Linked DNA regions of Arabidopsis thaliana. The protein of the gene in region 3 interacts with the protein of the main gene of each other region in a biochemical or structural test. Each region holds a gene or a part of one and is shown on either strand. Other genes may lie near its edges. The genes, in order: SNRK2.7, SNRK2.3 and HAB1.

What was found.
Region 1: the proteins of HAB1 (region 3) and SNRK2.7 interact in a test that uses a peptide from one of them, tested with the Arabidopsis thaliana proteins (one study listed by BioGRID).
Region 2: the proteins of HAB1 (region 3) and SNRK2.3 form a complex in vitro, tested with the Arabidopsis thaliana proteins (2 studies listed by BioGRID, with this or other methods).

Annotation. Positions count from the first base shown.
Region 1 is NC_003075.7:18,549,398-18,553,154, forward strand, and holds the start of SNRK2.7 (SNF1-related protein kinase 2.7), read right to left. Parts: upstream 1,787-3,757; 5' UTR 1,660-1,786; coding exon 1,540-1,659; intron 1,450-1,539; coding exon 1,375-1,449; intron 841-1,374; coding exon 739-840; intron 660-738; coding exon 606-659; intron 509-605; coding exon 416-508; intron 323-415; coding exon 230-322; intron 105-229; coding exon 1-104. Other genes in the region: AT4G40011 (uncharacterized protein), read right to left, coding at 1,801-2,007.
Region 2 is NC_003076.8:26,708,145-26,711,901, reverse strand, and holds the start of SNRK2.3 (sucrose nonfermenting 1(SNF1)-related protein kinase 2.3), read right to left. Parts: upstream 1,601-3,757; 5' UTR 1,568-1,600; intron 1,483-1,567; 5' UTR 1,206-1,482; coding exon 1,032-1,205; exon of another isoform or gene 695-1,031; coding exon 620-694; intron 527-619; coding exon 425-526; intron 352-424; coding exon 298-351; intron 198-297; coding exon 105-197; intron 1-104. UniProt on the Arabidopsis thaliana protein: Together with SRK2D, key component and activator of the abscisic acid (ABA) signaling pathway that regulates numerous ABA responses, such as seed germination, Pro accumulation, root growth inhibition, dormancy and seedling growth, and, to a lesser extent, stomatal closure.
Region 3 is NC_003070.9:27,388,374-27,392,130, forward strand, and holds the start of HAB1 (HYPERSENSITIVE TO ABA1), read left to right. Parts: upstream 1-1,574; 5' UTR 1,575-1,874; intron 1,875-2,265; 5' UTR 2,266-2,624; coding exon 2,625-3,371; intron 3,372-3,482; coding exon 3,483-3,757. UniProt on the Arabidopsis thaliana protein: Key component and repressor of the abscisic acid (ABA) signaling pathway that regulates numerous ABA responses, such as stomatal closure, seed germination and inhibition of vegetative growth. Confers enhanced sensitivity to drought.

The DNA.
Region 1 (3,757 bases), on a different chromosome or scaffold from region 3:
TGAATGGTGTTTCTAATGTTCCGTGGATCTTCGGGATCTTCAAAGGGATAAGCACCAACTAACATTACATATAAGGTCACCCCACACGACCACACATCTGCAATCTATATACATTTAAGATCATATGTTAATATAAATTATATGACCTTCTTTATCAAACAAGTTGTTGTTGTTATTAATTTACTTTAATCAATCTATTATTGTAGTTAATTAATAATTTAATTTGTACCTTTCCATTATATTCTTTCCGGGACAAGACTTCCGGAGCAACGTAAGCCGGAGTTCCCACGGTGGATTTTGGTTGAGAGTGTAAAACTGATGACTGCAATTACAGTTCAAAATCAAAATTATACTCAATGAATTGTGTCTAATCACTGAAGGTTACTTAGATTACATGGTGTACATATAGTTATACCTTGGAGTATCCAAAATCACATATTTTAAGATGCGACGACGGGCTCCCGTCTAAGAGTGTATTCTCGAGCTTAAGGTCTCTGTGACATATTTGCTACATTCAAAATGAACAAAATAAAATTCAGTAAGCAGTAGTTTCAATGGTATGATATCACTTTTGGAGATTATTCATATTAGAAGACTAAACGTACCATAGCGTGACAATAGCTAACTCCCGAGATAAGTTGTTTGAAATAATATCTTCCCTAAAACAATAATTAGCAAAAGTTAATTATCAATGTAATTATTAGATTAATCGTCGCTAATGATGAATTAAAGTTATACTTCGTCTTCGCTGAATCTACCGGCATTGCAAATTCTTTCAAAAAGTTCACCACCAGCTGCATACTCCATTACTATGGCAAGATGTGTTGGTGTTACAAAAACCTGCAATATAGCCCAACAATAATCCAACCAAATAAACATATTTATTTTAATTCTTTTTTTATTATATTCAAGATCGAGACGACCTAACGATTGCTTCTATTTTTATATAATCTTGAATTTGTAATTGCTGTCATATGAACTCTAATTTGGACCGTTTGAGAATGGGACATATGAAATTTAATACATTCTTTTAGAACTTAGAAGAAGTCTAACCATGTGAAATTAATACACATAAATTACATGGCCAGATATTTCTTACTTTTATATTACCGTGGATCGAAATTCAAACTAACGTACGGATATCAAATTTCACGCCAATTTTATCTTGCAGTGGAAAAATATATGTTAAAATTGAATATTTTGTACACTAACCATAATTATTGCCACTAGCTTATTATCACGTATTGGCTGAAATTTGTCATAGATTTCTTTTTTGTTTTGTTCGTTTATGTGTGTTTTCTACTAAACCAAAAATCAGACACGATTATATATGGATATAGTCATGGTTTTGATCATTATCATATACATACGTACCTCTTTAAATCTGATGATATTAGGATGCTTCAAGTCTCTGTGGTTTATGATCTCTCTCTGAACATGTTCATCAATCTGTATAAAGCCCATTTCATAATTTGAAAAAATGATTACTAAAAAAAAAGAAAAAAGAATATTTACGAGGAGATTAAAGAAGAAAAAAACCTTAAGGCCTCTTTCGATGTATTTAACGGCGTAAAACTCTCCGTTGGCTTTTTCTCTGACAAGCTTAGCAACTCCAAAGTTACCGGAACCAAGATCTCTTAAGATGTCGTATCTCTCCATTGATCGGAGGATCAAAGAACAGAGAAAAGAAAGAGAATATTGTTGTTCTATGTCTCTATCAAAAACTATGTCGTTTTGCTTCCTCGAGGTTATTAAAGCAAGATGCTAAAGAATTTAAGCTTTTTTTCTCTCATGGTTCAGTCACATATTAGCATATTTATATACAGACATACGTACAGATACAGTCAGCACCAACTTACCTTTATGGGCCCACGAGACTGTTGGGCCGTCAATATTATTGTTGAATATAGGCCCATTTGACACGTGGCATCTCTCAAAAACATGAACAACAAGGACAGGAACAAGGTGGTGAACTTGCAAACCGTTAAATTTGGTTTGTCTCTTCATCGATATTTATGATGTGTACCTTCTTCGGAAGAGACCAAGAATTATACGTTTTCTCGCAAGAGAAAAATAATTCATTGTCAATACATATAATTAATCCTTGTATGTTATATAGTTCATCAACATCTCAGAGATTGAAAAGTGAATACCTGATTAATAAATGCGATTACCCATTTTTAGTAATATATTCAATCTTTTAAATTGAAGTTTTCTACCAAACTTACCTGTTTTAAAATTAAATAAAGATACCTAATTTTCTTATCTTAGAAAACATAAAGAATGGCCCACATTTTAGATTTCGTGATCATTTTCCGCAACCCAATAAACAAACAAACTCATCTAAATATTATAAATGAATTAATAATTGAGCTTAATCTTTATTTACAAAACAAAATTTTAGATGTCGACCAAATTAACAGGTCAACGGCTAAATGATCAAAAGCTAAAAGCCAATAAAAAATGTTGCTTAAACAAATTACGTGGTCTATTAAACAATGCGTGCCTTAGATCATTATTTGATCCTTCTGTTTGTTTCTTTCATTGTGTATAATCTTTTTCTTGCTTTTTTTTTATAGATAGGTAAGCAAAATGTTTAGCAGACTTCGTTATAGTCGCCCCCCATAATGTTTTTGTTTTTTTCTTTCATTTTTATCGTTTTAGTATAATGTATTTGCATATAAATAATGTGTGTATAATCAAATACTATATTCGTGATGATTCAAACAGCTCTGTTTTTTTTAAGATACGCTTAACAAAATCCTCTCAATGATCTCTTGTGATCTTAAGGAAAATTATCCAGCTTAGTGTTATCTTATACATATCCTTCATATGTTATTTTGTTAAGACTTGAGATATGTTAATCTAAACAATTTGTTAAGACACGAACTTATGGAATAGAGATATAGAGGGTTAAGAAGTCAACGCCTTGAGAAAGCGAAATAGTAGAATTAATAAGGTAAACCAAAGCATTCGTATACGTGGCGATATACTATCCGTACATGTGGCAATTTCGAAGCAAGTGACAAAACTAGATGCCAAGTGGAAGTGGTGTTTTGTGCGTCAGGGCGTAATGGAAAAAGGTTACGTGGGAGGTTAATATTGGGCCGTGATGTAAAAGCCCATCACCGTTGAGTGGTTGGGTGATAGCAGAATTGTCCCCACATTTTGGTTGCTATTATTGGAAGGCTATTATACATTTGAAAAACTTATGAATTTCATTATGATTTCCCAAATATCGAGACCAAAAACTATTATAATAATGAAATTTCTTAATTTGTTGGAATCTTGTATACCTTTTTCCCACAATATGGATTACATTTCGCTTTGTAATCTGGTTAAATGCGAAAAGGATGTCAATTTTATTAGCATAAATAGAAAATAAAGCTATAGCATACAAACACATGGGAATTTTTCTAGTAAAAAGTTAACTTTTCAAGGCTTTTAGAAAAGGCAATAAAAGAATCGCACTAGAGGATTTGAGGAGTGCAAATGCGAAATTGGCTAATAAAAAATTGATTTTCTACATATATTTTATATAACAAAACATTTTGATTTCACTTTCTATATTCAAATAAAGTGGATTTCTTTTTTAATGTATTAAAATATTTTCATTGTAAGTTGCAACTATGACACCTTTACCACATTGTTTGAGCTTTTTCAGTTTTATTTCATTTTGTGTTTTACATAAGAAAATCGAAAAAGGTCTCTCTGGCCCATATAAATAGACAAATAGTGAAACAAGTTAAATATATTT
Region 2 (3,757 bases), on a different chromosome or scaffold from region 3:
AGAAATGCATAAGCAAACACTTTAAAAACACATTTGAACATGACAATGGAGGAACCACAAGTGTATAGTTTCTGATACCAAAAGAACAAAATCATTTGTGATACCTTTGAATATCCAAAATCACAAATTTTTAATCGAGGAGCAGGACTTCCATCCAACAATGTATTCTCTAGCTTCAGGTCACGATGGCAAATTTGCTTCACAGCACATGAAAAAAAGTAGAGTATTAACAACAAGTTAGAAAAAAACAAGAATACAACCAGTCCATAGGCTCCATGAAACAGATTCTCTACATACCATCGAATGACAATAACTGACTCCAGATAGAAGCTGCTGAAAGAAGAACCGAGCCTGTTTACAAGAAGAGATCAAACCATAAGGAAACCGGAGACCTGTAAACCCGATAAGAGAACCAAATACAAACCTCATCTTCACTAAACCGTCCTGCATTGCAAATCCGCTCGTAAAGTTCACCGCCAGAAGCATATTCCATTATGATAGCCAGATGAGTCGGCGTCAAAATGACCTATCCTCAAGTACAAGAAACAGAGTTTAAAAGAGTCACTGGCTTAACAAATTCCAAAAAGACAAGTACTGAAGAAAAGTGTATAAATTTTACCTCTTTAAATCTGACAATATTAGGATGCCTTAGTGACCTGTGGTTAATGATCTCCCTTTGAACATTTTCATCAATCTGCAACTCCCATAGTTACAAGTCATTCACAACTGTCCTAATCTACAAAAGCAGAACACTCAAAACCAACTAAAAAAATCATTTCAATATCCAAAATTTCACATAAATCACAAATTAAAATCATCATTCAAGTGTTAGGAAGCTCACATCTTTAAAATCACATTAAAAGCACTCAAAAGCATAATCATCAAAATCTAAAAACGCTAACTTTAAGTACGAAACCAATAAATCTGGAAAGTGAAAGCTAAACCAAACACTAAAAATGAACGATCACTGGACTAAATAAATATCATCAACTTCCAAAAATAGAAAAAGATGAGATTTTTAAAAATGAAACCTTGTCTCCTCTCTCGATGTACTTGACAGCAACAAGCTCTTTAGTGAGTTTATCTCTCATAAGACGAGCAACACCGAAATTACCAGAACCAATATCCTTAACGAAGTCATATCGATCACTGTCGTGCATAATCGGCATATCCAACGGTCCTGTGGTCACCGGAGCTCGATCCATTTCTGATCACAAAAAGAGAAATTCGAATCTAATACCCAGCAGAGAATATGTTGTTGTTGTTGTTGTTAAGTCGCTGGAATCTAGGAAGAAGAAGAAGATTCGAGAAAATAAATGGAAAAATATCTTCAAGAAGAGAACGAATAAGGAAAGAGAGGAAGAAAAAAGGCAATAATTGGTTGCCCCAAGAGATAAGGATTGTCCCAAAACGACAACGTTCAGTTGCTTTGATACGACAAGAGCCGCCGCGTTTTGATGATTGATGTTGCTTCCTAAGAAACTATAACCCAAAAATATTAAAATTAACATGAAATAAAAAAAGAAAAAGCACGACTTCACTCGTCCTTGTCTCCTAAAATACAAACCTTTTTTCTCTAAATTCTCTGTATTTATCCGTTTCGATTTTTTTCTATTTTTCTTCGTTTTTCTCATTTTGAGAATTCGTATCAAACAAATAAATATTTGTGTTAAAAATAAGTAAAAGAAGAAGATATATTCGTTATAAATAACAAGATATTCTAATTAAAAAAAATAGTTTGGAGGAAACAGAAAAACTTAGTTCATAAGGAAAACAGAAGCTTGAAAGTCACGTGCTGCAGAAGCGGCCATGTGATGAAAGAATATTCGGTTGCGTTATTCCGTTACTTGACGGCGTTAGAAATAGACACTGATGACATTGACACTGACGTGGCAACTTCTAAGCATTTTTTAATTTAGTTGATGGGCCTGCCTCTAATTTTTACATAGAAAAGTCCTTTAGGCCAGCCCAATCCCACCATGGATGACATGGACAGTGACGTGACAACTTCTAAGCATTTTTCAATTTAATTGATGGGCCTGGCTCTAATTTTGTTAAAGAAAATGCCTAAAGATATAAGCAAAAGGCCAGCCCAATTACAATATTGATGATTAATTGGATGAATAGCATTTTATCATATTTGCATGAAATATATAGTCAAATCTTAGGTCATTGATTTTGTCGGTCCATATATATATAGAGACACACTTAAATTAGAATCTACTAAGGACTGTTGTATTAAATTGGATGTTGGATTGACCTAGTTAGAAATCTTTATATGGATTTATTGCGACACGAGACATTGATAAGAGTACCGAGGAAGGTACACTAGTGTGACTAGTGTTAGAGATAGCGAGGTGTATGTATAATTTTACTCTTAAGTTAATGAAAAGGAGTGAATGGTGTTTATGGGTAAGTGCGCAATTAATGGGTCAGTGCTTAATTTAATGGCCGATGCTCATCAATTTCACCACCTTCTCTTTATTGCTATACTAAGCATCCTACTGGTGAGATTAATATACTATTATATGCACATGCACATGAACATTAAGTATCCATGTTTCTCATGAATCATTCAGATCAAATATCTAAGCCACACTCACATTGATTTAGCTACTGATTGTTATGATCATCATGGTATGGACAAATGTGTTAAAGTGAATGAAAGTCTAATAATTTAGATTGGTGTGAGTATGTTAACTTAAATGTTACATCTGTTTTTCAGCCGGTTTTGATTCATGCGAATTCGTGAGGATTAAACACATCATGTAATATTGGGAGAGTCTTGAGGGATGGTTTATAAAGATAAAACGGTGATGATATAGAAGAGAGAGCCAAAAATAAATTAGTGAGTGGTCAAAGATTGTTAATAAATGAACCAACACAATCTTAATTGCCAAGCATTCACACTTAACTACTTCTTTAGCTTCATCTAGCTACTTGATGATTATTATATGCGTTTCCTTGTTTATATGTGAAGCACACACTCTCTTTTAAAAAATGATGTAGCCTTTTTGTAATTTGTTTTTCCTTAGCCTTTTTGGTATCATTATGATAATGTTTTCATAAACTAAACTCTTTTTGTTTCTTATTTCGCATTTTAAACTTTAGGTATATATAACAGGATCGATACTTTTCCAGAAACAAAAAAAAATGTAAATGCGGATATACAAAGATAGATTATTCATACTTTTTAATTTAATATTTCCGGTTGACGTCGGATATGTGATAAACCACTAGGGCAAGTAACACTTCTCTTGACATCTAATTTACAAATAGATTTGCAACCAAAAACACTAATTTCTCCTTTTTTTTACTTGAACCAAAAGAAATGTCAAAAAAATATTAATAGGGTACAAAGAAAAAAAAAAGCAAGGTAGTATTTGTTTCGGGATGGAGTGGAGATCTTTTGTTCAAATTGATACGAGGCCTTTGGTTTATACTTTATACCAAAACTGTCTGCAGGACTCAAAATCAACCAAATAAGCTGACTTCTTTGTTAGTCGTTTGACTTTTACGTGGTGAGTGTCTTTTCGCTGTTGGACGTCCGACAAAATCAGGAAGAAAGAAAAACTCGATTGCGTCCATAATGCCTTGAGCAAAGTCAGAGTTTCCAACTGCAAGAAAAGTCGAGGAAATATAAGTAAAACCAAAAGAGAGACTTAAGAAACAATATTATTAATATAAAGAACTTGATCGATGCGATTGATGCTAAATTGATAATACATGCAAGTATAAAGTGCATCTTCTGGGACAA
Region 3 (3,757 bases):
CAACCAAGATCGATTGTGTTGTTTTTCTTTTGTCTGGCTTTGCAACCTCAGAGAAGAAACAATGAACAATGAAAAGAAACAGAAAATTGTATTGTGAGATGATGAAGCTTTTAGTGGTTTTACAATTTTTCTAATTTTGGAGGGTTTATTTCTCAAACAACTCAACAGTCTTGTGAAACAAACAAACAAGAATGGAAATTTCCACAAGTCTCAACTTATCTTTAATTAGAGAGTGATTTTTGGGAAGTTGCTGGTGAGATCTAGTTTGTACTATAATGTACGCGTTTCGATTAAAATAAAATTCGATTATACATTATCAAAATATTAAATCGATTATTTTATCTTAATCAGTAAAACAAAGTTTTTAGATAAAAATATTAGTAAAACTAGTCAAACATATGGTTTAGTCTTTTAGGTTTATATAGACTAGAGGTTGAACCAAAAAAGAGAGTAAAATAGACTAGAGAATAGAATGTTATGTTTAAACATGATCACACATCTCAATTTACACACATTTACTTAATTTGAGTTTCGATAATAATGCAACAGCAATATATGTATCTACGAATTTGAAATTTATGAGTACAAAATCTAGAGGTGTAACAAAATATTTATTATTTTCGTCCCTGATCAATCAGAGTAGCCACGTGGGCGGGTGGTAGAAATCGAAATTATTGCGATTATTGACTTGGAAAAAAACAAACACACGTTGCATTTTTTGATTTACGTATCCAAAAAGAACAAAGAAAAAAAGGTAAACGACCAAATAATATAATTTTCTGGGGCTGTCGTCTTCCATCTTTATTTCTTCTTGGCGATATCACCATATCTTATACGTCTCTCGAAAGATTATTACTCTTAAGACGATTCCATTAAACACTGATTGTGAGAACTTGTACTTTAACGTTATCGAAAAGTATACATAAATATTTTTATTTTTTTAGGCTGATTCATTCTTACTGATAACAATAATTTTGTGTTATTCTTTCTTACCTAGAGAGTTCTATAGACAAGTTCGTAACTATAAAACCAATCTTTATTTCTTACTCATAGCTTTCAAAACTAAAACTTGATCAGTTTAAATAAAATATATGGGAAATTTTTGCTGAACCAATATATTACGTGTCAAGATTTCATTGATCCTATTAATACAATTTATTCATTTTACAGTTATATCAAATACAAATTACAACTAAGATACTCACTTATCTACACGTCAGATTGTACAACTAAGATACTCACTTATCTATATCTAATTTTCGTGGTTAATATTACATGTCAAAATTTTATGGAAATAATTAGTGTTTTTCTACTTTATATAAATTTTTATGATATATTTTTTTTTTAAAAAAAGGAAAGAGAAAGAAATCAATTTCCATTTGTAAACATATTTTTGGTTCTGAAAATAAATAAATGGGAAAAAAAGGAATTAAATAACATCTGTTGTTGTTAGCTGATCGACAGGTGTTGCCTGAAGCGACCTTAAAAAAAGAAAAAGGACAAAAAGTTGAAGAAAAAAAGAGGACAAAGTTCACAAAATGATACAAAGACTAATACGTGTCCTTTTATTAATCCTCTTTTGTAATAAATACTCTTTTTTCCTATAAATTATATTACAAAACCAAAGAAAAAAAGGAATAAAAAAAAACAGAGAGAAAAAGCAAACCACACAATATTCTCTTCTCTCTCTCTTTGTTTCGCTGATAGAGAGAGCCTCTCTCTAAGCAATTTAGCTCGAGCGAGAAATAATCCTGAGGGAAGAAAATAAAAAGAAGAAGAAGAAGAAGAACATCTTTACTTTTGTTCTCTCTCTCTCTTCTGTTCGATTTTAATTTTTTTGCAGATGCGAATATCTTCTAAAGATTCATCAACTGGTTAGTTCTTTCTCTCTTCTTTTTTCTTTCCTGATTTTTTTATGTTGTTTTTCTGTGTAGTTAGCTTTTCAATCGGAAGATTTTTGCTATTATGTGTCGAATCTCTCTTGTTGTTTTGAGCTTTGTGTTTAGTTTTGCTTAAGAACAAAGTTTAAATTCATCTTTCTATTTCTGGGTAAAGCTAAAGCTTCTTTTTTAATTTAGATCCAAGGAAACCCATGTTCTACTATATGATTATGGACGTTAATGGTTCGAATTTTTTAGGGCTTTCTTGTGATTGATTTCGCTGATTTTCCCTCCTTTTTCTGGTTTTTGTGTGAATTTTCTTTGACATGACCGTTTGGATAATGATTCGTGAGTTTTTGATTAGTGCTTTGTGATCTCTCAATAGGGTTGAAATCAAGATAAGGATTTGAGAAAAGATCGACGAAGTTGTTGCGATTTTGGGATCAAGAGAGTGATATAATCGAGTGAGGAGAATTCGTCGTATAGATTCGTCAGATCTGGTTATCTCCGGTACTTAATTCTCCTTGATTCGTCGTTTTAACTATGCTAAGTTAGTGTATGAATAAAGCGGCATTTGGGTCGCTGACAAAAACTTATTTGGAGCAAGGATTCTTCAACATCATGAAACCATTGCTTAGAGTATTCGAAGAAGAAGATGAAAACAATTGATTTCTCCTAAGTCCATCTTTGAAATTTAAAGCTTTGTTGTGGTGTGGTGTGGAAATCTCTGATTTTGGAGAGCTCATGGAGGAGATGACTCCCGCAGTTGCAATGACTCTTAGCTTAGCAGCCAACACCATGTGTGAATCATCACCTGTCGAGATCACTCAGCTAAAGAACGTTACTGATGCAGCTGACTTGTTATCTGATTCTGAAAATCAAAGCTTTTGCAACGGAGGGACTGAATGCACTATGGAAGATGTTTCTGAACTGGAAGAGGTAGGTGAACAGGATTTGTTGAAAACTTTATCCGATACGAGAAGCGGGTCTTCCAATGTTTTTGATGAAGACGATGTATTGTCTGTTGTGGAGGATAATAGTGCTGTCATAAGTGAGGGCTTGTTAGTTGTTGATGCAGGCTCTGAATTAAGCTTGTCTAATACAGCTATGGAAATAGATAACGGGCGAGTTCTTGCAACCGCGATTATCGTAGGCGAATCAAGCATTGAGCAGGTTCCCACCGCGGAAGTTCTTATCGCGGGTGTAAATCAGGATACCAATACTTCGGAGGTTGTCATTAGATTGCCAGATGAAAATAGTAATCATCTGGTGAAAGGGAGAAGTGTTTATGAACTAGATTGTATACCGCTTTGGGGCACGGTTTCCATTCAAGGGAATAGATCTGAGATGGAGGATGCTTTTGCCGTGTCACCTCATTTTCTGAAACTACCCATCAAAATGCTTATGGGGGACCATGAGGGTATGAGTCCAAGCCTCACACACCTCACCGGTCATTTTTTCGGTGTTTATGATGGTCATGGAGGCCATAAGGTATGCTATATTCACATTTTATGTAAGTTGTTTTAGCAATGTAGATTGTTATACACCTCTTTGAGATGTTCTGGTTAAATTCATAGATTTTAAATCTACAATGGCTTGTAGGTTGCTGACTATTGCCGAGATAGACTCCATTTTGCTTTGGCTGAAGAAATAGAACGTATAAAAGACGAATTATGCAAGAGGAATACAGGAGAGGGTAGGCAGGTGCAGTGGGATAAAGTCTTCACGAGTTGTTTTCTAACTGTCGATGGTGAGATTGAAGGAAAAATTGGTAGAGCCGTTGTTGGTTCTTCTGATAAGGTTCTTGAGGCTGTTGCGTCTGAGACCGTAGGATCAACTGCTGTTGTTGCCTTGGTTTGCTCATCACATATAGTAGT